2 linked regions of the Schizosaccharomyces pombe genome follow. Changing the gene in region 2 together with the main gene of any one other region gives a genetic interaction. Each region holds a gene or a part of one and is shown on either strand. Other genes may lie near its edges. The genes, in order: pqr1 and pho842.

Evidence for each region.
Region 1: of pho842 (region 2) and pqr1, a mutation in one rescues a mutant of the other (synthetic rescue), as found in Schizosaccharomyces pombe (one study listed by BioGRID).

Annotation. Positions count from the first base shown.
Region 1 is NC_003424.3:2,420,465-2,433,001, forward strand, and holds pqr1 (ubiquitin-protein ligase E3), read right to left. Parts: upstream 3,363-12,537; 5' UTR 2,740-3,362; coding exon 1,327-2,739; 3' UTR 982-1,326; downstream 1-981. Other genes in the region: protein Rrg9, read right to left, coding at 24-377; epr1 (ATPase co-chaperone protein), read left to right, coding at 5,727-5,815, 5,950-7,003; ribosome assembly protein Rsa3, read right to left, coding at 7,069-7,311; tRNA m(1)G methyltransferase Trm10, read left to right, coding at 7,556-8,470; DNA primase catalytic subunit Spp1, read right to left, coding at 8,705-9,995, 10,080-10,153; drc1 (DNA replication preinitiation complex assembly protein), read left to right, coding at 10,534-10,663, 10,720-11,352, 11,393-11,643.
Region 2 is NC_003424.3:4,358,164-4,370,903, reverse strand, and holds pho842 (inorganic phosphate transporter), read right to left. Parts: upstream 8,437-12,740; 5' UTR 8,004-8,436; coding exon 6,324-8,003; 3' UTR 5,779-6,323; downstream 1-5,778. Other genes in the region: SPOM_SPAC23D3.13C (guanyl-nucleotide exchange factor), read left to right, coding at 1-3,197; SPOM_SPAC23D3.17 (uncharacterized protein), read left to right, coding at 4,036-4,134, 4,211-4,293, 4,341-4,395; Ragulator-Rag complex subunit Lam4, read right to left, coding at 4,741-4,895, 5,060-5,115, 5,170-5,204; ayr1 (1-acyldihydroxyacetone phosphate reductase), read right to left, coding at 11,165-12,055.

The sequences.
Region 1 (12,537 bases), 1.9 Mb from region 2:
GCAACTCAAAAAAGTATATAAATCTATGCAAAATCACGATTACTTTTAAGACTATTCAACCAACGTTTTTCTTTACGAGATTTCTCCCGATCGTCTAATGGTCTATTAGAGGATTTCAAAATTCGGCGAATACTTTCAGGTGAAACTCCATATAGTTTTGCCAATTCTGAACATGACATAGATGATTTTTCTTTCTTTAGACGCCGAATTTCGTCCATAGATTCTAAAGGAAGTTTCTTTTTTGGATTCCAATAGCCTCCAATTTTTCGTTTGACCGCTATGTTCTGCTTTTTCCACTCTATAGAGGCTTTGTTTGAAGCTTTGAAGGTAGAGCTTAAACGGCGAAAAATCAGAGTAGTATAGTTGAATATATTCATCAAAAAAATCCAAACGTTTCCTTTTTTCAGTCTATGTGACCTTTAAGTAATGACACTATATATTCCATTACCACTTAGAATATTTAGTAGCTGGTGAAGTATAATTACTTCCACTTATAACAAAAAAGTACAACGCTCAAAACTACTCCGATATTAGGTTGAGTTAGTAATAGTTGTAAACAGCCTTAAATTACTCCGCGAAATACTCGGATTTAAACGTTGTCAAATATCTTAAATCTTGTTCATTCGGAGTTTTCAGTGAAATCGTGGCAAAGGACTTCTTGATGCTCCGGTAAAGTCGGTTTTAGAAAGCAAAAAACAGCTTTTGCTAGTGTTCCAAACACAAAAACTACTACCCATAGCACAATTATTCATTAAAATCTGTGAAGAGAGACATATTAAACACTGTAAGTGGGTAACTTAGGAATTGAGATAAAAGCATTGTTTTTCGGACTATCAATGTTTAGTTGCTGAAAGTTACGTTAAGTTTACAAATACATCAGAGGTTGACTACAAGAACTTCCGAATAATATGAATAATGAGTTCAAATTTGGTAAATTTAAGTTACGAATACGATTTCCTAAAACATTACACAGCTTTTGTAAGCTAAAATTCTATAAATGTCTATTGTCTATGTTGATTTTTAAAAAATATGTTCGGTTTAGTAAAGATTAATGGTATGTGATGAGCAAGTATTATGTACAAGCATTTAAAAAAGCTAAATATAAGAAAAAACCGAGAATTATAAGCAAACGTTTATAACAAAGAAACACACGAAAATGCTATTTACAGCAATAAAAGTTAGGTGAGGAAAGAAAAATAGAAAGTTAGTATGCAAATTAGGCAAGGAAAACATAAAAAAACAGATAATCAAATATAGTGAGTAAAAAATAGTCCTGAGCCTTTAAGAGAGGGTTGGGAATTTAGCGGAAACAAATCCGTCGTCTATCTACATTATCACACAATTGTTCTGACCTGATACAACAGAAATTGAAGAAGGAGTAAACGTATCGTTCTCATTTTCTTCAAACTTTTCCTTAATCTCTCTTGGGAAATATGTTTTCATAAAATTCATCAAGGCGTGATCAATATTGCGAGAATCGGCTTTCATAACTTCTTTGGCACGACACAACGGACAGAAATCAACTTTCTGTTTCTGAAGAATGATAAGGCAATGCAAACAAAAAACATGGGAACAACCTAATCTCACCGGCTTGTAAGCAACGTTAGAGCATATAGCGCATTCAAAATCCCTCAGTTGAGGAATAATCGAGAATAGCTTAGAAGAGAGTGAAAAGCATATAGCTTTAGAAGCATTGTCGACCAAAAGAAGAGGGTCTGATTCGATAACTTGAAAAAATAGAGGTTGAGCGGTTAAGGATGTCCGCTTATCAAACTTTTTCATGATCTTCGTAACGGCTAACTTATTCATTTGCTGAAAAGAAGCAACTTTCAACAAACTTTCATTAAGTTCAAGAAACTTAGCATACAAAATACGATCACGATGCTTTGAGGAAGAGGGAAGACATTTTGCTAGCCTGACCTGATCGTCAAACCATTTCAAATGGCGCTCAGCGAGCTCGGGAGTGCGTTCATGACTCTGATCAGCTTCCTTGCAAGAAATAAATATATCGGAATCCATATAAATTTCGAAAATTTTTCTCCAGCAATAAAGAGATTTGTATTTCTTTTTGGAATTAGGGGAAGCTATAAGAGATATTTCATGACTCAGGATATCAATTGCGTTAAAAAGAATTTTACGCTGTTCACGCTGTAGTCCTTCAACACTTTGCAACTCCGAAGTTAATTTTTCAAAAAACTCGTGGTCACAGTTCAACGATATTTCCATACTTTGAACTTCGGACATGTCAGAACTCATAGTTTGAGTATCGATATCTTCATCAACCGTTTCACAAGTCTCTACGCTCTGAGATGATGCGGACACACTTGGTAACGTATTGGTAGGGGGCTGCTGAGTAGAATCCGAAGGAGTAGAAGGAACATTTGAGGCATAATTACTCCTGACGGTTGTAATCATATTTGATGCATTCAACTGCTTGAACATTGAAGCAGCGAACTTATCAGTTTTCAATTTATCAAAATTTACGTTGATAATAATTTTGGGGACAACAATGTGTCCCTCTTTGCCAAGGGAGTAACTAAGCGTAATAGCTTGTTGGGGATCCACGGTAGTCGGAGCCATCAATTTACTGATGGTCTCAGCACTTAGACCCAAGGAAGACAGCTCAAAAACGAACCTTTTAATACATTTTTTTAAGGCCTTGTACTGAATGGCAGCCTCGCCCCAACCAGGGGGCATATCGTTTTCGAGAGCCCTTTTAAAATCGTGTCCAAATTTCATATCGGAAGGACTTTTTTTCAATGAAAATGAAAGAGGATGAAACCTTTACAAAAGATTGAAATCAAAATATTTGAAAGGCGGTAAAACTACAGAATAAAAAACCAAAGCCCAAGAAGGAGAAAGCTTTGTGGTTTTTATAAAAATGAGTGCTCCGACCTTTGCAATCGAAGTATCGGAGTTAAGTATTTTCTTTATTACAAGCAGATGGAGAAAGAAAGCTTGCAAGATAGAGTTTCGCAGAGTTGAATTGCGTACGTTTTGATTAAAATATATATATATTAGTAATGGAATGAAGTGAAGAAAAAAGTAACAGCCCAAAGACCTAAAAGCTGCTTGTGATAAAACAACAAGCTACAATGGGACGAAATTAGATAGAATAGATAAATGGAATGGGAATGAAAATAAATAAAATGATTTTCTAATACCACGTTTCGAATCAACCGAAACCGTCGTTCGCAAACGGAGACCTGCCTGGCTTGATTCAACCAAAGGTACGTGAGTGTTTAAAATTGTAAAGAGATGCGTAACTCCTTAATACTTATACATATAGTAAATGAATTTTCGATACTATTTCAAAAGTTTTAACACTGTACTAATCGTCAAAATCCTTGTTGGTTCATGACAGGTGAAAATCCTTGCAGTCCTTTCGCATCCTTATATTGCACCGCGTTAGACGACGCAAGGTGGCAAACCAAAGCATTTCCCCCTGACGTCATAAAAAGAGCGGAGGAACTTGCGGTATAGGTAATACTACCCAACCGCACTCGGGTTCGCAATGTTATTAGTAAACGGCCTTCCGGTAAGCCTTACAGTAAAAGGAAAGGAAGCAGGGGCAATTGGAAGACCAGCAGTGGTACGAAATCTTCCTTAGCTTTATAGAATGAGGCTTGTGCTGATTGTCAACAATTTGCTGACAATGTGTGAAACGTACAGAGTTGGGTTGTTGAACAAATGTTCTGTAGCACTGTGCCAAAAGAGAAAAAATAAAAAAAAATAAAAAAAAAAGAGAGATAAAGGATAGTCGGTAAGAAGTTGAGCCTCTTTGTTTTCCTCTTTTTTGTATTGTTTTTAATTTTGTATGTATATGATAATAAGTAGGTATCTAATTATATTTGATTGATCCGATTAAACCGGACTATGACTGTAATAACCATTTTATTCACGATTAGTTAACGGTGTGCCACAAAAAACTAAAACAGATAAGGGCAAGTTTCGTATGGAATTATTGTACATTATCGTATTGAGTAAGTAGATAAACGTGTTTGATGACTATAGACATTAAAAGGATTATCGAGATTGTAAAATTTTGGTTTTTTTACAGATTAGAAAAAAAAAGAAAAAAAAAAAAAAAAGAGGAGAAGGACATGTTGCAAATCCGTGAGTCAATAAAACAATTCTGGAAGAAGCAATTTTTTAGTATTCACAATGTAAAGGAAAGGACGACAATTACAATTTCATTGAATAATCCCAAGCTATAGGAGAGACTTAAAACGAGTTTGAAATATTGAAGAATATAGAAGGATAAGAAAGTCGATTAGTATGAATTTTGAGATTCTATTAAAATATGAATAGCAGCAATTGTTAAACTATCAAAATTTTTCTTTTATTCATTATACAATGCTATTTACTTATTACGGTGAAAAACTAACACGTCAACCTCAAACAATTTAGGATTTAAACTTTCGCTTTCCAATCAAGTTTAGATTTTTATTTTCCCTAAAAGTAGTCTTCTCATTTGCACATGATTTTGTAATGCTAAGCTTGGGGTAAATGAAAGAGACCTCCCTTTTGTAAAAGAAATCTGCGTAATGCTTATAACATCGGGTCGTAATTGCTTGACTCAATAATGTAAACAAATTTTGTTAAAACTATTTGTCCCTTGAAGAGGCAGTGTTATATAGTCAGATTAGCAACACAATATATTAAAAACATCGAGGAAATTTGCATTAATAAATGCGAAATTTTCGTATTCTATATGAGCGAAACCTTAGCTAAATAGTATTGATTAACTCAGAAAAGACCAAGCATTCATAGCGAAATTAACATGAAAATTCGTGATAATAGCCTTGCTACATGAAGGCAAGAAGTTCGTTTGTTTTTAAGCAATGCAAGCATGGCATTATTATTAGCGCATTGGCTTCTTCTAAAAAACACAATCTTACATTTTAATTCGGTTGTGGAAAAATTTGATCTTTAGTTCAATGTCTTTTGTAAACTGATAATTTTAACTTCATTTTTTGGAAATGTGCATTTTGCTAATGCATATATAGCAGCAAGACCTTAAATAACAATATAAGTTTTCATGAGAACCATGTTTTCTTAATTAAGAAGACAGTAGTTTGTAAACTGTATTAAGATTATACATATATCAATATATGTTAATATATATATTTATTCATATATTCATTTTTTACAAAAGTGATTTTTCGGATTTCAAACTGTCTAAAGTTTGCATGTATAGAACACAAATTTATTTAGGGTTCAAATGATTTCGTACACAACTTTAACTTATGTTTCGCTTGTTGTATTTATTTACTTCAGCATTGGCGAGACGTGAGGGACCACACCATATTATGTATTTGCGGGTTTGTCAACACAGATTTAATTTACCCATAGCATATTACTTTATTTTTTAGCATTAACAGTATTTTGATTCGTTGTTTCTCGTCAATTCGCCTTTTTGTCTCTTTCTACATTTTTTGAAACACAGTTGGGAGCTATTGTCGCCGGTTTGTGAGAAAGATCACCATTTTACATAGAACGTACTGAAGGTATTGTATTTTGGCGATTGAACGGGCAACTCTCAATTTTTTTGCTTTTTTTGTATTTCAATTGTAGAATTGAATTGTTAGTTTATCACAAGCAATCTCAATTGCGGTTGATAATTCATTCCACTCCTCGGCCTTGGAATTTTGTCTTTGAAGCTACTTTATATAAGTCTTTTACTGGTTAACTTATGATTTTATGCAAATTATTTATCACCAATCATGAATAACCCTTTTAAGGATATGGATTGCTATGAAATCTTGCAAGTGAATCATGACTCTGACTTGCAAGAGATTAAAGCAAATTACCGGTATGAAAACTTGTTTTCAACTTAATCAATCAACATAGAATATAAATTTACAGCTTTTCGATCTGTGATTAAAACATAATCGTTTAAGTTGTGAAGAATTGATCGCCTTTGTGTATCTTTACTAATCATAACAGAAAATTAGCTTTGCAATATCATCCCGATAGAAATCCGGGCATTGAAGACTATAACGAAATATTTTCCCAAATAAACGCTGCATACAATATTCTCTCTAATGATGATAAACGAAAATGGCATGAAAAAGACTATCTAAGAAACCAATATTCTGTACAAATTGAAGACGTTTTGCAGCATCTACAAACAATTGAGAAAATCCCTTTTGAAAGCACCTCAGCGTTCGTTGAAAGACTGCGACAAGACGAAAAAATAGCGGGTTCCACAGACGACCTTCCAACTTTAGGGGACACAACTTGGCTTTGGACGTATGCCAAACCTATTTATCAAAAATGGCTAAGATTTTCAACGAAAAAATCTTTTGAATGGGAAGCTCTATATAATGAAGAAGAGGAAAGTGATGCAGCTACACGGCGATTAATGAAGAGACAAAATCAAAGGCAGATACAATACTGCATTCAGCGATATAACGAACTTGTCAGAGATTTAATAGGAAAAGCATGTGATCTTGATCCACGGAGAAAAAACGTTGTGAAACTAAGCGATGGAGAAAGATACAACTCCCTACAAGAAGCATCGCGAAAGCAAAGTGAACGTGATCGGCGTCAGTACCAGGAAACTTTTAAAAACCAATCAATTGCGTCTTGGACAATAATCGATCAGGAAGAAACATCCAGCGATGATGAATCTTTGAGCAAAGAAATTGTGAATTCAAATCCAATAATGTGTATGGTTTGTAACAAGAACTTTCGATCACAAAATCAATTGGAGAACCATGAAAACAGCAAAAAACATAAAAAAAATTTAAGGAAAATGAACCAAGAAATAAAAAAGCACGCAAAAGAAGCCCAGAAAAACGCGGAATCGAATAAACAACCCGAAGATGCTCCTAGCGAATCCCCATATTCGAACAAAGTTTCTTCCTCTGACTTCTATACGAGAAGTTTTGAGGAAATAGAAAAAACATTTACTTTTGTCGAAATCTCTGATAACGAGTTTTATACAGCATCCGAAGATGGTTTTTTGAACGAAGACGATAAGTTGGATCAAGATTAGCACCGCAAGCTTATCTTTTTTAATAGAATAATACAGGTCTGTTTTTTGCTAAGTTATATAAACCATTATTCATAAATTTTGTGACCAGCACGCAAACTTTCAATAAGCAATTGTAGTTTGTTATGATCAAAAATTTCCTTTTGCCTTAAATTGTCTAGCTCTTCTCCAAACTCTGAAGTAAGTTGTTCCATATATTCAGATAGTGATGGCTTTTCTGTTTCTTTTTTTGAAAATGTCTGAAACATAGGATTTTCAAGCATATTTGATACCGTCGATTTGTTATCGATTTTTTGATCGTTTGTTGCCATTTTTCAAAGCTTGTTTTGTCGAAGTTTGTAAATAATACAATTTTGCAAAATTTTTTTATTTTCGACTTCCTGAATCCCTTTATTACCCAAAGTTAATAATTGCGAGATTGGCGTAGTTACCAACTTTTTATACTTCACAACACTCTTACTTTTTCCATTAGATGAACAGCCTGGCTAGGTTCAAAATAACGATATAACTAGATAAATTTAGGCTATATTTTGACTGCAATAAAGTTGGGAAATTATGGAAAACAAAGACGCTTTAGATATTGGTAAAGATGACACAAATACTTCTGAAGCTGACGTTTCTAAAAATGAAACTCAAGAGCAACCCGTTCTTAGCAAATCTGCATTAAAAAGATTAAAAAGACAGCAAGAGTGGGATGCAGGTCGTGAAAAGCGAGCAGAGATGCGCCGGGAAAAAAAGCGATTACGAAAAGAGGAAAGAAAGCGAAAAATTGAAGCTGGCGAAGTAGTTAAAAGTCAAAAGAAGAGGATCAGACTAGGAAAGGTCGTTCCTAGTAGTATCCGAATTGTTTTGGATTGTGCATTTGATGATCTGATGAACGATAAAGAAATCAACTCTTTATGTCAACAGGTTACTAGATGTCATTCTGCAAATCGTACAGCTTTACATCCTGTAGAACTTTTTGCTACCAACTTTGGTGGACGTTTGAAAACCAGACAAGATTTTGTGCTAAAGGGGCAACAAAATAATTGGAAACGATACAACCCAACTACTAAGTCTTATTTAGAGGAATTTGAATCCCAAAAAGAAAAATTAGTATATCTTTCTGCTGATTCAGATAACACCATCACCGAACTCGATGAAGACAAGATTTATATTATTGGTGCGATTGTCGACAAGAATCGGTACAAAAATTTATGTCAAAATAAAGCGTCTGAGCAAGGGATCAAAACTGCAAAGCTTCCAATTGATGAATACATTAAAATTACGGATAGGAAAATACTTACGGTTAATCAGGTCTTTGAAATATTATCTCTTTGGTTAGAGTACAGAGATTGGGAAAAGGCATTCATGGAGGTCATTCCAAAAAGAAAGGGAATTTTGCTTAAAAGCGACGAATCGTTTGATGTTTCTGAGGATACTAGGTCTCAGTCAAATCAATCTGATAGTGAATTGGAAAAAGAAAATTAAATCGCTAGTTTAAAATCATACTAGTTATGCTTTTGATTTGTTTTGGTTTTTATTATTATAATGTATTTAGCAAAAAAGGATAAATAAAGAGGTATTAAAAAATATATTATTACTGTCGATTTAACGGAAAACAATATGCTCCACGTAAATAGAAGTCAGAGCTTCCATCCTTTCATGAGTAAATGTATGCCCAAATTTTTAGTTAAAGCTTGAATCGATTGTTGAAATACGATTTTAAAATTCCAAATTCTCATGTTTTCTTTTATTTCCTACTGTTTCTTTAAAAAGCTGGCTACTGAACGATTTAAAGTACAGCGTATAAGGATTGAGAGAAGTTGAAAAGCCATGCCCCTTGTTTGATTGTCCCCTAGCATTATCTTTTTGGTTTTCTGTTGTATTAGTTTCCATTGTTGGACCATGGCCGTTATCATTTTGGGAATTTTTATCCAACTCTTGCAAAAGATCATTCACAGTGGGTACTTTCAAAGGATTAAAAGAATCCATCCTCTCTATATCTATGGGAACACAAACACGACTAGTTCCGGGGTGGACGCAAAATGGAGATTTTAGCAAATGGTTTAAATGTCTAGAAACCTCAACATCCAATCTTGGATACAAATAGGTTAAAACAATGTCCTGCTTGGCAATCGCAATTACTGAAGGAGATATAGAGGCAATAGAACCAGATGCTAAGACAGTGTCAATGTCGGACCATTTATTTTTGCTAGATCGTTCAGGATCAACCTCCCATTTTTTACGAAGAGCAGATGCTAAATCCTTGTCTGGTAGTAATTTCAAAAGGTTTTCGGCTCCTTCTTTAGAAGCCCACGGATCTTGGTCTTCAAGGACAATTTTTACAAAGGCCGATTTGAGAATGTTGAGAGAACGAGTCAAATGTGGGTGAAGGGGTCTTTTTAAGTTATTAATAAGTCGTACGCCACCTTGAGGATTACCTACTACAACCTGTAAATAACTGGCAATCATTCTACGAGACCGATCGTCTAAAGAACAAGCAATTTCGTCACAAATCCAAGCGTGAATACCTCTTCGACCAGAGTATACCCACAATATGTGTTTAAATCCAAAGTCCTCATGAAAACAAATATCTAAAACTTGAACTGCGATCGTAATAAATGGCCAGCATTTTTCGCATATATTTGTTTTTGAGCAGCAGGTTCGTACATCATCGTAGTCAGTCATATCTATATCAAAAACGAGTTCCTTTTTAAGCGGATGAAATGTTGACTTCCTTATTGTTTTCCTGTCCCTGGGATTGGCACTATAAACGGGTCCAACTTCAAATCGGCTTGGGCATAAATTTAAAGCTTCCTTTTTTAACTCTTCCCAATTTGAAAAAGATAAATAACGAATATAAGCATCATTAGGAAGTGTGAACGCGAACTCCCGATGAGCAAAATCATTAGTGACTACCGGACCATGATTTAACCATTGAAATAAATATTTCCACGGAAAAAGATGGCGATAATATTGAATCATCGTCTCTGAATCCACAGCTCCCTGTTTACTATAAGAAAATTGTTAGAGAATTTTCATTATTTTAGAGGCTCAATCGAGTCCATAGTTAAGATTGTTCAGTATTCACACTTACGCGCCATCAAGTGTTCCGTTTGCAATTATCTCATCCAAATCTTTGTCGTCCAATTCATCGATTTGAACAGTCATATTGTAATAAGTTTAGCTAAAAACAAAGGTTATTTACATACAGCTCAACCATAAATCAAAAGGAAACGACAGCGTACTTAAACGTTATACGTTATTTAAATTTAAAAAACTGCTTAACGTATGCGTAAACATTCAGCAGTAAAATGGAGCATTCATTAGTGCATCTACTTTACTTTTAAAGCATAATTAACATTTCAACTTTGCATTTCGAGATACGTATCAAACTCTGTGCAATGGTATTTCTCCACATATAGAATTAGAAGAAATATATGTTTATGTAGATTAGCCTCTCTTTTTGTTTTGAGTTTGTTTTTGCAGTTGTTTGAATCGAACACTACAAAATTGAAATTGGGTCCAGGCAGTGCATTAATTGGCAAATCATGCACGATGAATCACGAACTAAACAAATATCTAGTATAAAAGCGCTCTTAAAGAAGTGGGAACATGAGTACGTCCATACGAACAATTGCAAACCTTCTAAGGAGGATGTGAAGAAACAACCAGAAATAGGTATGTAAGCCAAAGATACACTTGAATTTTTGAAGCAAACTAACGAACTTTTTTAGCGCTTTTATATAAGCAATACTACGAGTTGAAACGCGAATCCTCCATTACCCCTAAAAAAGCAAAAACAAAGGTCGACTTTAAGTTTCAAACTCCTACAAAACAGCGTGCTGAAACTGAAGCGAACGAGAGTCCTAAAGCGCCCCGAAATGATTATCTACAGGTTACTCCGAAAACTGTGGATAAAAGTCTTTTAGGTCCTACTCCACAGTTGTCACGTCGAGTACTTAACCTTCTTGAAGACATGTCTCCCATTGCAGATTCTCATGTGGATCAAATTTCGGATATAAAACATAACACTAGTGAAATTTCATCAACTATGATACCGACTACTCCATCAAAAAATCCCGAACCTGTGGCTCAACATACTCCCACCGTTCTTGAAACCCCCTCTTCATATCGCCTTCAAGTTTATACATCTCCTAACTTACTTCGAGTTAATGCGCCATGCCGAAAAAGTCTCAGTGAAATGCTTCGTGAGTTAAAAGATATTGAAGATGATTACGGATCAAATGAAGAGAAGATATTGCAGGAGTTTGAAAGCTTTAGTAGCTCATCTTCAGAAAGCCTTGTAGATAGAGACATATCACAACCTATGAAGAAAAAAATTAAACGACAAAATCGTCTTGTTAAATGTAAGGTTTTCTCCTGTTTGTACCTGAACTAACGTTTTAGTGCCCCCTTCAATGAATCTTTCCAAAAGTCATTTAGAAGGTCTTCCTGAAATAGACGAAGATGCGGAAAATGGCATTGACGACAATGAAGATACAACTGCTAGCAAAGATTCGTCACCATTTTTAGATCTGCAGAGTGAACGACAAAATAAAAAGATTATGAGAAACGGGCTTGTTATTGGAAAACAAGTAAGCCAGAATTATTCCTCTTACAAATTAAAAAAACGTAAATTTCGGCGTCACAGAAGCTAACATATAATTTGTCAATCGGAACTTTGCTGTTGTATTTAAAAAAACACATACTTTCTGATCTTCCTTAATAGGATATACACTTTTTCAATGAATGTTAAAGAGGTATATATATTTAATAAATCATGCATTCAATAAAACCTGGAAATAGATTTTGTGGGTTTTTGAGATTTAAATGAAATAATACATCATGAGTTTGTGGTATCCTGTTAAAAAAATTTTGGAAATATAAAAGTTTGAATGAATCATATATTTCTTGTTCTTAATCTTCGGGTAAAATCAAATTAGTTACTATCGAACGATAAACGTTTTATATTTTTACGTAGGCATTCGTCCAACATTAAATCTAAGACTGGAACGTTTTGATATACGAATATCATGAGGACGTAAGGAAAGAAGAAGTACAAAAAAAATCGAACCTTCAATATTGAAGCTGGCGAGAAAGACAAATAAAAAAACAGCTTCAAATAAGTTTGGATCTATTGAAATGAGGAATACATGAAAGCTGAATATCATCATTACTTTACATGGATTTGCATAGCTTATTCATCCTTAGGGGACAGCGATGCCAAATTTCCTCTTAACTAAATTTTTAGACAACCTAAACACCATACGTTGATGCTAAACTTCAAAACATGAATAGTCATTTCCAAATGTCATTTACAACTTAAGAAACCATGCTTTAAATAATAGATAGCTTATAAGATACAGGCAACAACTGTAATAGATTTTGGTCGCAACTCTTCAATTGTATTCAAAACATAGTTCAACCTACAATCAAGTTAACAAATCTTTTTAAAGACAAATAAAAGGGCTCTAGATAATCAGAATCCAAAAGAAGTGCATTGTGTAATTAACAAATACAGTCAATACGTTTCATTGTTTAAGGTAAACTTC
Region 2 (12,740 bases):
TACCTTCTAATCTACTTTCAGGAAACATGACTCACAGTGCATCAAGTTCAATTTCACATAATGGTCGTCTATCGACCTCTACAATGTTTAGTGTGGAAGGGCTTAAGGAGGCTGCTACTACAATTGCTGCAATAGCCAGTTACGATTCCAATCATGACGAGAAGCAAAAATGTTTCTCCTTACGAGAAATCCTGTTTTTGAGATGTTTATCTTCAATTGCTAAAGTAGTTGGTGAAAAGATGGGTAAAGGATGGAAAATATTATTTGAGACCTTTGACAAAGCTGATATTATACTAAACCGATCTCCAACCTCCAAACATCTTTCTACAAGTAGCCTTAATCGTGTGAATTCTTCAAATTCCAACTTTCAGGATAGTAAGAGTTTCTCAACTCTGATGGATTATGAACTGGTTTCCTATAAAAATGAGCTATCGGAACTAATGTATGTGACTTCCTCATACTCCCAGCCAGCTTATATGGAATTTTTAGAATCTCTCCTCGCAGTGATAACCTCATCAAGTGTTCATCCTATTCAGACCTTAACTGCTCCTCGGCAATCGTTTAATGAAGATTTACTTTCAGCGAACACCAAAAATTCAGTTTATAAGACTTCTGCTAATCGGTCTATATCAGGAGGCATTCGTTTACTGAGAAAAAGTTCTGAGGTGTTTTATTCTTTTTCTATTTTAGAAACGGTTTGCTCCTGTAATTTGGATAGATTTCTTGATTCTAAGCTTGATCACTCTGGATGGTCATTGATATCGAAGTCTCTTAGCGAAGTTTTTAAGATCATTAATGTTGCACCAGAACTTCGTACCCGTGCTGCTAATTGCCTTGCTAATATATTGGTTGACGTTGCTTCTAGATTATCGAACGAAAATTCTCCAGATAGTTACGCATTTCAAGAAATATTTTTTGAATCTCTTGGCATGCTTTTACCTGTTACTGAGGTTTCTGATAATACCAGTAGAGGTGTTGAGTATGATATATCAACCATTGGATTGGAAGCTTTGGTTTCAATTTTGGAGACTGTTGGCCATCACGTCCTTCATGGATGGCAGTACGTGTTTGAAATGTTGAGATTTAACTGTTTAAACGGTGCCACTTGTTTTGGGAGTGAAAAGGGTGCGAAAATTGTGAGGCTTGCTTTCTCTTGCCTTCAATTAATATGTACTGACTTTTTGGCTTCACTTGACACAAGCAACTATTTAGATCTCATGGACACCTTGCTCGTATTTTGTAGGCAACTTGAAGACGCCAATGTGTCTCTGACAGCCGTTGGGTTGTTTTGGAATGTCTCTGATACATTGAAAAACATGTTCAGTACGTCAGACTTTTCTTGTGCATATAATTCAGTTGAAGACCTATACGCCTTTACTTCAATGAAATCGAAAGAGATTCTTCCAGAAGTACTTTGGATTATGCTTCTAGTGCATCTTGCCGATCTTTGCGAAAACTCATGGGCAAGTGTTCGAAATGGTGCAGCACAAATTTTGTTTCGTATTTTCAATTCTCAGTGTTCTAAGCTTGGAACGAATGCGTGGGCGTCTTGTTGTCAGCTGGTTATTATGAAATTACTTCACTCACAACCCATTCAAAATGTTAGTGATGTCAATAATAAAAAAGATGAAGATGATCATGAACAAACTAGTTGTCTCATTATCTCAGGAATTGCCGATGTCTTTTCTGAAAACATGAGCCTACTCTTGAATGTCAATGGCATTTTGGATGTTTTGGAAGAGGCCTTTCAATTGATGCTAAGGTTACATTCTGACATATATCCTAAGATATGTATTAGTAATTTTAAAGCCCTCAGGGAGCTTTCTTTTTCCATCTCAGAATTTGGAAAGGAAAATGCAACTTTTACGCTTTTAATTAAACTGGTATTTATAAATTGGGGCAGATTCTGTGAAGTTTCATTTTCCGAAAGAAGACTGGCAAATATATCTCAGGAGGGTTTAACTTTACTGATTGAGTCTGTTGTATTTTTATTGAAAGCTTACAACTTTGGTATTGAAGAAATTAAGGATTCATTGCTTCAAGTACGCAAGGCTGTATTCTATGAAGAAAGTACTTCTTTCGCGTTAGATGTCGATTTTCTTTCTTCTTTACAGCTTGCCGTTGAATCGCTTACAGACTTATTGATAAGCAAATTTAAATTAAACCATTTGGTATTAGAATTATGGTCCGATGTCTTAACTTATGCTTTCAACGAAGAGAAAACAATTAGAGCATCTCTTCCTACCTTAATTTGCCTGTCCAAAAAAATATTTGAAAACGCGGAAAATGTTGTCGAAAATCATTCTTTAGATTTTTTAAATCGCGGGACCATGCAACATATGTTCGAGTCATTACTTGTACCAATGCGACTCAAGTATCGTTGTCCGAAAGCTAGTCGCGTTAACCAGTCAACATTACCTATATGGGTACTTGCATCAAAGTGTTTTGTGAGACTAATGATTAATTGTTTCAAGGATCTTAAGGGCAGTGATGCTATTGAGGATGCTGAAAAGATGCAGTGTCTATTTCTACTTACAGTAGAAGCTACAAATTCTATAATTTCTCCTAATGCTGATTATGAGTATGTTTGGAGCCTAGAAGATGTTTTTGAAAATGAGGATGTTTCGTCTTTGAAACAATTACATAATTTGTGGAAACCGCATTTGCAATTAAACTGTTTATCTGATGAAGTTGCCCAATATTATATTACTCTTTGTAAAGGGTCGTTTTACTATCAAATGCGAAATACAGAGGATATGGTCATCTCTAGAAGTAATTTGGATATACAAAAGGAAGCAGCTCGAAACTTCTTTCCATCTACCGAATCCCCTGTTTCTAATCGAAGGCAACGAATAGCTGTAGATTGTTTCTCGATACTTTTGGATGATTACAATTCATCTTATGAACATGTTAGCCTAACTATTCGTCCCATTCTGCAAAGCCGCTTATGCTGGTCTTTGAAACGTTATGTAGCAGATAAGTCAGTGAGCGGATATTTACCATTAAGCAAGTCTCAGGAAATGGACATGTCTACAGTCGCTGAATGTTTGAATAATCACCCTTCATTATACTCAAATCCTATTCATTATTTATTAAGAAAAGCATATCATACGACTAATGCATCTCCGGTTGCGACTTCACTCAATGCAATTCTCGGACAACTCACATTGAAAAATGAGGTGTTGAACGCAATTTAATTATGGAAATCTAATTAATTCCTAACTGTTTTATTTTTAGAAGGATATCAATTATATAGACGTTAGCGAAGAATACTATTCATAGGAAGATAAAATAGAATATAAATTGCCATATTAGCAATATCTTAGAATTACAGTACCAAAAGGAAATCTCTAGGAATCTATTCTATATATGAAAATTTGCAACCACTACGATTGAGACTTATGGGAGTCAGCATTTTTGCGTTACTAATATTCAATTGAGTTTATTTTAAACATAATAAAAAATTCGATTGGATGCTTGAAATAATATTGATTTCTCATAATCTCGTTTATTATTCATTTATAACGCCGGCTAGAAACAGTTTAAACCAAGATTGCATTATCGATAAGGTAGGCTCCTATCATCTGCATGAATCGACCATGTAGAGCCATATTTTCATAAATAGTGTATGCTACACTCCATACTCAACCATCTTTCCTGCTTCGCCTGTTCCTGTACCTACTTTGTAAGATGCATCGTATCCTTTGGTGCGTAACATACTGAGTCAGTAAATGAAAACAGGTATAGTAGTTTAGTGAAATCAAACATATTCTCAGTTGGTAGATGGAGTAAAAGGAAAGGTTGCATGAGGTAACTGCTGGCAAATAAGTTAATCACTTGTACTTTATATAATTAGCAAAGCATTATTAGATGGATACTTAGTCTCACTGTATTTACCCATAGCACCATACCAAAACAGTGTATATCCGTAGGTCGAGCATTCGCTTATTACAAATTTAGTAATTTTACACTGAGACTTTAATCAATTGACTCTTTACCATTCAATTAGCCCGTATTGGTACATATTTGAAAACGATGAATCCATCACGCAACCCAGGACATGGCGATAAACCTTTTGAAGAGCGTAAGCTAGTAGGAAAATATATTTTCCCAAATAAAGATGATCCTCGAGCGGTATGCATTAAATTAGATGTTCATAGTTGTTGTTTTTTTATATTCTTTCGTTACAACTAACTCAAAATTTCGACAGACTGTCGAGGAAAGCGAACTCCCAAAAAGCTACCGAGTATTACAACCCAATTCTTTCTGTACCAGGGACTTTATGCCAGATAGGTATGTCTTACTAAATGTGAAATAGCACTAACAGGCTCCGTAAATAGGGTGAATTTCCATACTGATTCCAATGGTAAAATTACCCATGTAACTAAAGGTTAGATACTAAATGCTTAAGAGAAGATTATTTGTCTTTACAACTGATCAGTCTGATACCGAAGGTAACTATAAAGCTTATAATGATATATTACAAATTTGAAAATATATATAGCATGGTACTTTCTAATATATAACAATGCAAACAAGACATGGAGCCTCCAAAAGATAGAGAATAAGGCCATAGCGGATTAACAATTTACTAAAAAAGCGAAAGCATGAATTCACAACTAAAAAAAAAATTATAAAAAAAGGAGCAGAAAAAGATATTAGCAAACGCCAGCGAAACCATTAATTCTATTAAGGGCAAGTTTTTAAAGATAGAAAGATGTTACATTAAATTGAACACCCTTATGTATTTCGATAAATTAATCCTAGAACACATGATTCTTTAGTTGCAATTAAGATCTTCGTATTGCTGTCATGTAGATGCAAGACTTCAGAAACGGCATTGCTGTTCCATTCGCAGATGACACGCTGTTCTTCTGCATTCACATCTCCGGCTGCTTTAGTAAAAGTTAGCAAAGTGTTAAGTCACTTAATAAAGAGAGATTGAATGATATGTGTCAACTGATTCATAAATCACTCAAAAACAAAAGCATTGAGAATTAAACAAAGACTTATGAATATACAATATGTGTATTTTTTTTATTTTTTAGATTTTACATACTTGCAATTGGGAGTCCATTCCTGACTAACATTGCTCCACGATAAGTTTCATTCACGCTACAGCAATTCTTGTTAATTTAAAGACACTGAGTATCTACGAGCTAAACGTACCATTTAAGAAGATTTTCAGAAAGCTGTGAATCCATTGTTCTTACTTAAGTCTTGATTTACAGTGGACGTCTAACAGTTTAGCAGATTCACCGTACGAAGTCATTCTCTCATAATTGTAGCACTAACAATGAATTCAGTTGGGATAAAATAAAGAAGCGCACCGTATTTCTTTTAAAAGTGATATTACGTTCTACTTTTCTCAATGGATCGATCTTTAAAACTCGCTAAATGAATATGGAACAACAACGCATTCCAAAGAATTTAAACGTAAACAAACACTTGAATTACAGGGCTACAATTGACAAGTTTATTTCGAGAGTTAAAAGATTATTCGTTTGATTAATGATCACAAATTTAAATTTTTTTAAATATATTATCTCCGGCTAAATTAGTGTGAATTGACAAACTACCTCGTCTTTTTTTTTTACCTGCGAAGGAAATAAATTAAATAAATATTAGCACATAAAATTTGTCTGCAGCAATCATGTTGTTAAAAAAAACTTTTTAATATTATTGATTTCTTAAGTTTAAAAAGGATCCAACCATTAAATAATTTTACAAGCAAACTAATAAATATTTGTAATATGTAAACAATTGCGCTAATAGCTAGCATTAATAAATCACAAATTTTCATTAAAATAAATTAAATCATAAATAACAAATTTCAATATTAAAATTTTTATTAATTAAATTAAATTATATAAATATTAAAGGAACCTTGTAAAAATATACTGTCAAGGTTATTCAGTTAGCGATTCCAAAAAGCGCACATGATGATTCCCGGATAGAAAAAGAATTAAAATTAAATTAAAAAAAGGAAAGAGTAAAAGTAAAAAATATGCGAGCTTTTGAGCGCTGAAATCGTCTTAATAATGGGTGAAAGAATTTATTTTTCTTTTAACAAAACTGAAATGGAAATGGCACGATACACGTATTCATTCAGCTTTATCAACGGTAAGAAAACGAAAAAAAAAAGAAAAAAGAAAAACAATCCGACAGCAAAACATTATTAACATTGACTGCAAATCATCAACAAAAATTAACTTTAAAAACTCAATTTCTACAAAAATCCAGAAATGATTTTATATGCAAAAAAAGTTATCTTTTTAACAAAAAAGAATTTTAATAATAAAAAATTAAGTAAATGATATAATTTAGAAAATTCCGTTGAAATACCAAGACCAGCGGCCCTGGTGAGTTTTACCATTACCACCGCGCAAAACTTCTTCGCGATCAATTTCATCGGCATCCCGCATCTTGGTTTCAGGGAGAAGCAAAGTGAAAAAGATTGCTCCCCACATGCAGCCGCAGAAAATCCACATGACATTGCCATAGCCAATTACAGATGTTAAGAAGTTAAACAACAGAGAAGCCAAGATGGCACCGCATTTACCCAAAGCAGCAGAAAGACCATGAGCGGTACCACGAACACGTGCAGGAAAAACTTCAGCAGGATACAAAAAAGTAGTGGCATTGGGTCCAAAATTAGAGAAAAATTGGGCAATGACAAAACATGCAAATCTTCCACCCGTAGAAATGGTGTCCCAACTACCTGCAAGGATGGCAAACATTAAACCGGTAATAAACAATCCTTGAAGTTGGATCCATTTACGGCCAAGTTTCTCAACGAGGAAAACTGTAAACCAATAACCAGGAACATAACCAGCAATTGCAATGATGAGATTACCGATAGCACCACGCATAAGTGTGTGATACTCATTCTTTCCCGAACTAAAGCCAATGGCCTTTAAAATGACGGATTGATTGAGATTAACACCGTAAAAGGCAATATCGAGTAGGAACCAGGACACGGCAGTAGCCAAGAGATGCTTGAAATGGTGCCATTGACTGAAATATTCGATAAATCCACTGGTATTCTCAGAAGTTGGAACAGTGGATGCACGTTTATCTCCAAAATCCTCTGTAGAAGTAGGGTGAGAGTCCGAGGAGGTGGTCAAATTAATTTGCTTTTCTTCAACAACGTTTTGGTTATCTTTCTTCGGTTCGTCGTCGTCAGCAATGTAGGTATCGTTGTCGGTATACTTGTTGAGAGCTTTCGACTGTTCATAGGACTTGGATTCCTTCATAGTGAGACGTGGAATCAAAACGAGGAGGGCAGGAACCAAAGCCAAACCCATTTGAAGACGCCATACACCTTCAAGCTTAGTGTACTCGCCACGTTGGTTGAGAGGCTTCTCAAAGCAGGCCAAGAGGATGATAGTGACGATGGCGCCGGCCAGAGTACCAAAGCCTTGAAAGGAGAAGACGATGGAGAGAAGGGTACCACGACGACTAAGCAAAGAGCGTTCTGATGTGATTGTTGCGGACATAGGATAGTCACCACCAATTCCTAAACCCAGCAACCAACGCCAAGCAAAGATCCACATCATTTTACCAAGAGGAGTAGGTATACTTTTGGGAAGGGCGATGACAAGGACGGTAGCAATAATAACGACGATCATCTCTTTACCGTAGACAAATTTACGACCAAAGAAATCGCCCATGAAGCCAAACAAGATTTGACCAAAGACATTTCCAATGTTAGCGGCAGCGTTGACAAGACCATGGATACCGGAAGGGTAGTGAGGCTTTTTGCCCTCCAAACCGCCCCAGTATAAATATTCGTAAATGGGGGAGACGAGATTAATGATGAACAAGTCATAAGAATCGAGGAAGAAACCGGCACCAGCAAAGCCCATGAGCTTGAATTCTCGTTTAGTCAAACCAAGCCAATGGCGACGAGTATCGGACTCGGCGACATCAGCCAAGGAAACTTCGTTGTTTTCATTGGAGTTTTTGGAGTGAGATTTTGAAAAAGGATTTAAGCGATTCATAGTGTAGTGAATAGATTGTTTAACAGGAATGCAAATCAAGGAATTGAGTTGAATTGGGGAGAAAAGTTTTTCAACAACTGCAATAAGAAAAAAATTATATATAGAAAAAGGGAAATCCTGCAAAGAGAAAGAATGTACAGATTAAATGGAAGGTTTTTGAAACAATTCGGTCAAGATTTGTAGAATTTAGAAAAGAAAAACAGATTTCAAAAAGGAAAAGAAAAAAAAAAGGAGAAAGAGAAAAATAAAAAGAATTATTCGAAGTCAGTGAGTTCTCCAACAAAAAATGTAATAACTAAAGCGACAATTGCCTTCAAAAAAGGAGAGAAAGAAATTGAGAATGGGATGAAATGCAATTTCGAATCAAGTCGAATTTATTTTTATGGATGAATTGACTGCCTATATAGCGAAAGCAGCAAACTGGTGAAAGCACGCTGAGACAAACGGCAGAGGCAATACTTATATAGGAAGAAATAATAAGTGTTTTTGCCTGAAGATGCTTAGGCGCTTGTTACAGTTGATTTTCAAAGACCGACTCAATGTAACATATTAGTCATTTAACATTCACCAATTATTACGTCGAAAATGGCACACTTGACAATCATCCAAAAAGCGCACTTTCGCCACGGAGTCGCAGCGCAAAAGCGGTAAACAAACACTCGATCCATTGGTCCAAAGCTACCAAACTATAAATTATATCTCTCAATGTTAAATAGGCCGACGAAAAAGATAAAAGTTAAATCTGTTTAACGACGATGTCCATACTTTGTTATTTCGAGATGGATGTTTTGAACAAGGCTATATGGAACAAAAGTAGATGCAAAGATTGGAGTGAGTAAGGTGGGTCGTCGCTGGAGATTATGGTATGTCGGCTGCAGCTAAAAAAAAAATAAATAAAAAAAGAAAAAAAGAAACCCCAAAAAAAAAAAAGATGAAAGCAATTGTGTAGCAAAAAAGTGTTGGAAATATTGTAGCATTCCAACATTCACAAAGGTTTCTTTTGGTCTTTTGTTTTCTTCTAGATGTCAAACTGTAACAACAACAAAAAAGCTACTCATGACTTCCCCACAAGCCATATGCCGCATACATACTCCGCTTGCCTTGCGCCATAAAATGTTTTGACTTTAACATTGAGTAACAAGGCAGAGCGATATGAGATGAACACCGTTTTGTACGAAATTGGACGGTTTGCCCCAAAATTTCTGCATACTTGACCAATCCACAATGTGGGATGGACAGCGCATCCTGCACTTCAAAGCAAATCTGTAATAAACGTTGAATATGCGAAGAAATGTGAAAAACTATGAGAAGGGAATACAGAAGCTTTGAGTAAGACTCCGACTTGGGAGATTAAAAATTTCCATCCATACACACCTTGGGGAACGGGACTTGGGGATCAGTACCAATTCCAACGCTAGTTAAAAAAACAACAACTGGGGAAACGGGGTCAACTGCGACAAAGGGATTTCGGTTAAAAAAATTGAAAGGGGGAAATCGAAAGGGGAATCGGTAGGAAGGCACATCTCTAACATTTCATAGTGAAATTTGTCGAGTTTGAGTATGTTTAAAATTTTTTTTAATCATATGCCGAGAAAGAAATTATGTCATTTGTTGAGGTGAAACAACCTGCATCTATCGATGATCAGGCAACGTTTTTCTACGATTTCTAATGTTTTCTGGTTTGTAACAAATGTTAATATTGCCTATCACCCAACATGATGATAAGTTACATAGTAAATCACATGTTTGCTTTACTTTTCGCTGTTTCAAAGTTGAACTACGATGCATCCATATTAGTAGCGCAACTCAATATAAGCCAGCTGGTCAATGTGCTCCATCGTTAATTGATGTACAAATCGGAAACAAAGATAAGAATACCATTTATAAGGGTAAATACATTTATTTGACAAGGTAAACAGATTCGGCGGGACATACATTCGACAGAGAAACATGTTTGAAAGGAAAAATCAGGAAAGATGTAAAATAATTGCCTCAACAGCTACATGTGTGTGGTTTTGCAAACGTAAAGGAGAATCCATACAGTTTTTTTAATTATAAGTGAGTGAACTATTGAAGGGCAGATTGACTGCATTGGATGTCTGTTGCAAAAACATTTAACAGATAAGCTAAGCTATACAATATAACAAGGCCTGACTTGGCTTTCTTTTTGGATAGACAACTAGATTATGTGGGGGCAACATAGGCTTTTTACTTTTCTGTCTTTACTACAACATTTAAACAGAAAAAGTACTAAGTGGGGGACATTTAACCAGAGAGTAGCAATTTAAAGTACAGCTGAGAAAGGTGGGAGTCATGTCCCTGTATCCCACTGCACCTTGTTGCACTAGCAAAAGGCGCTGCTTAGAACAATTTTCTGGTTAAAAAAAAAAAAGCGATACTTTTACAAAACATTTAGCGTTAAACAAAATGAAATTTCACCAACAAATATAAATCTCTTCGAATGTACATGGACATTGTGCTACGAATTGGTAGCATCGCTCACTTACTTACTCATTCACCCTGTCGCTGCTCAATAAATAACGCGGAGTGAAATGGCTTTTGTACGATAGCTTTTCTCACAGTAATCCTGGTAGTGATTTTATTTCGTTATTGTGTTTCACATAGTATGCGTTTAGGTGAATCTCCCACAGTGTCTTAGCCCTCATTATTTGGTAAACAAATAGAAGTAAAAATTAAAGGAAAAGTATTTTATGAATAGAGGTTTATAGCAATTCAGCTATCTTATCGGCCGAAAATACGTACGTTGTTCGAGGAAATTAACAATTTTAAATTTCTTTCCTAGTTTTATCCACATGTTAATGAATTGTTGTACACTGTCATTGCACAAATCACTTGCATACTAGCTGCGCGCATGTCAAAAATATATTTAAAAGATGTTGTCCTAATATTGGATGTTCTCTGAATATCTAATGAATAAAAAAAAAGTTACTTCTTTTTTGTCTTACTTACATTTTCATTGCATCCGTTTTAATGTCATCTTTCTTTCCTAAACTCGACAATACTTTCTTCCATTTCATTTGCTTTATAAAAAAAAGTGTGACATTAAATTACAAAAAAATACATGCAACGATTTCAAAATTGATTCCAATGCCAATGTTCCAAAAAGAGAAACACATATCAGACTGCTATCAACACTGAAATTAATCAACAGTGTGGTCTCTCCATACAGCGGTTGACGGCAGTTTTACGATTAACCGTACAGACATAGAAAACACCTCGACCGGAAGCATCGAGCCAACCCTACCAGCACTGCTCATGTAACCCGCCCAAATTTGTGCAGGGCGTACACCTGGTTTGAATAATTGATACCACCTTCCACGGCCTACCAACTGAGGGTATGCAGCGTCTGCAAATTCCTCAATCGTAACAAACTTTTCTACGGGATTTCTGTTTTCCAATATTAGTTTTCTGTATGGATAGTAAATTGAATTTTCTGGAATAGCGGCTTCTGTCATAGTGCCAAGAGGCTTGCTTTGAATTTTGGTTTGCACACCGCCCGTCATAATACTAGTCACTTGGACTCCAAAGGGGGCCAGTTCTATACGCAGCGTGTTGGAATATGCCAACAAGGCAGCCTTTGAGGCGTTGTATGCTGCATTAAAGGCAAAGGGAACATAAGAGACGAGTGAATTGACGTTCACAATTGTTCCTTTAGCACGTATAAGTTGATGTTGAAACGCCTTGTTCATTCGAATTACCCCATAAAAGTTAACATCCATGACTTTACTGACATCTTCGATATCCAGGTCAATGGCTGGTGCACTACAGGGAGCTCCTGCATTGTTGATTAAATAATGAAGGGAGCCGTTGGTAAACTTGCGCACCTCTTGCTCAACCTCTCGTACCGAATCTTCATCCGTAACGTCGAGTTTTAATGTTTGAAGGCCAGCTTTTGTCAGGTTATCCATACGTTCCACCTGCCTCGCTGTTGCTAAGACTTGAAAACCCTCTTGATGAAACTTCAAGGCCAACGCATTTCCAATGCCTCCTTCACTACACCCTGTAATTAGTACAAACTTCTCAGCTTCCATAATAAATTTCTCTATCAAAATTTCCTACTACTTGGTTAAGAAAGAAACCACTTTTGAAATAGATCTTGCTAGTCGCTACAACTTTCAAGTACGTCACATTTATTAAGCACTCTCACTCTTTCCGCCGTCATGAATAATAAGCTTGAAATTCAAATGTTCCATACAGTTTGTAGGATAGTTTACAAAAAAGAAACAAGAACGAGAATGAATGAAAGAGTTTTGTTGTTGAATGGTGTTTTAATGAAATTTTGGCATTAACTGTGTTTAGAGCTTATAATCAGTGTTTGCGATCATTTTTTTTAAGCTTGCTTTTCATTTATCCTTCTTTTTATTTATTTTTATTTTTCTTTTCATTTACATTGGCTTTTTCTTTTTTTTATTTGTTTTCCAATTATTTACTATTGTTTGGCATTACTAAAAAATGTTTTGCTTACAATATCGCATTAAATTAAATCAAACAAAAACTTGCAGTATGTAAAATCAATAAATAAATATACAAAGGTTTATGCAGTATTTGCATTAATCTATTAAGTTACTTGTAAAGTTTTAATATGTTTCTTTTGTTTTTTGTTTAGATCTAATATTATAGCTTAGTCGTTGAACCAATGATACCATGAGATGGGGTTTATATCAGTTTTGAGTAGAATTTGCAACCTGTCCTCACCCTCTATCGGGTTTTAATAGT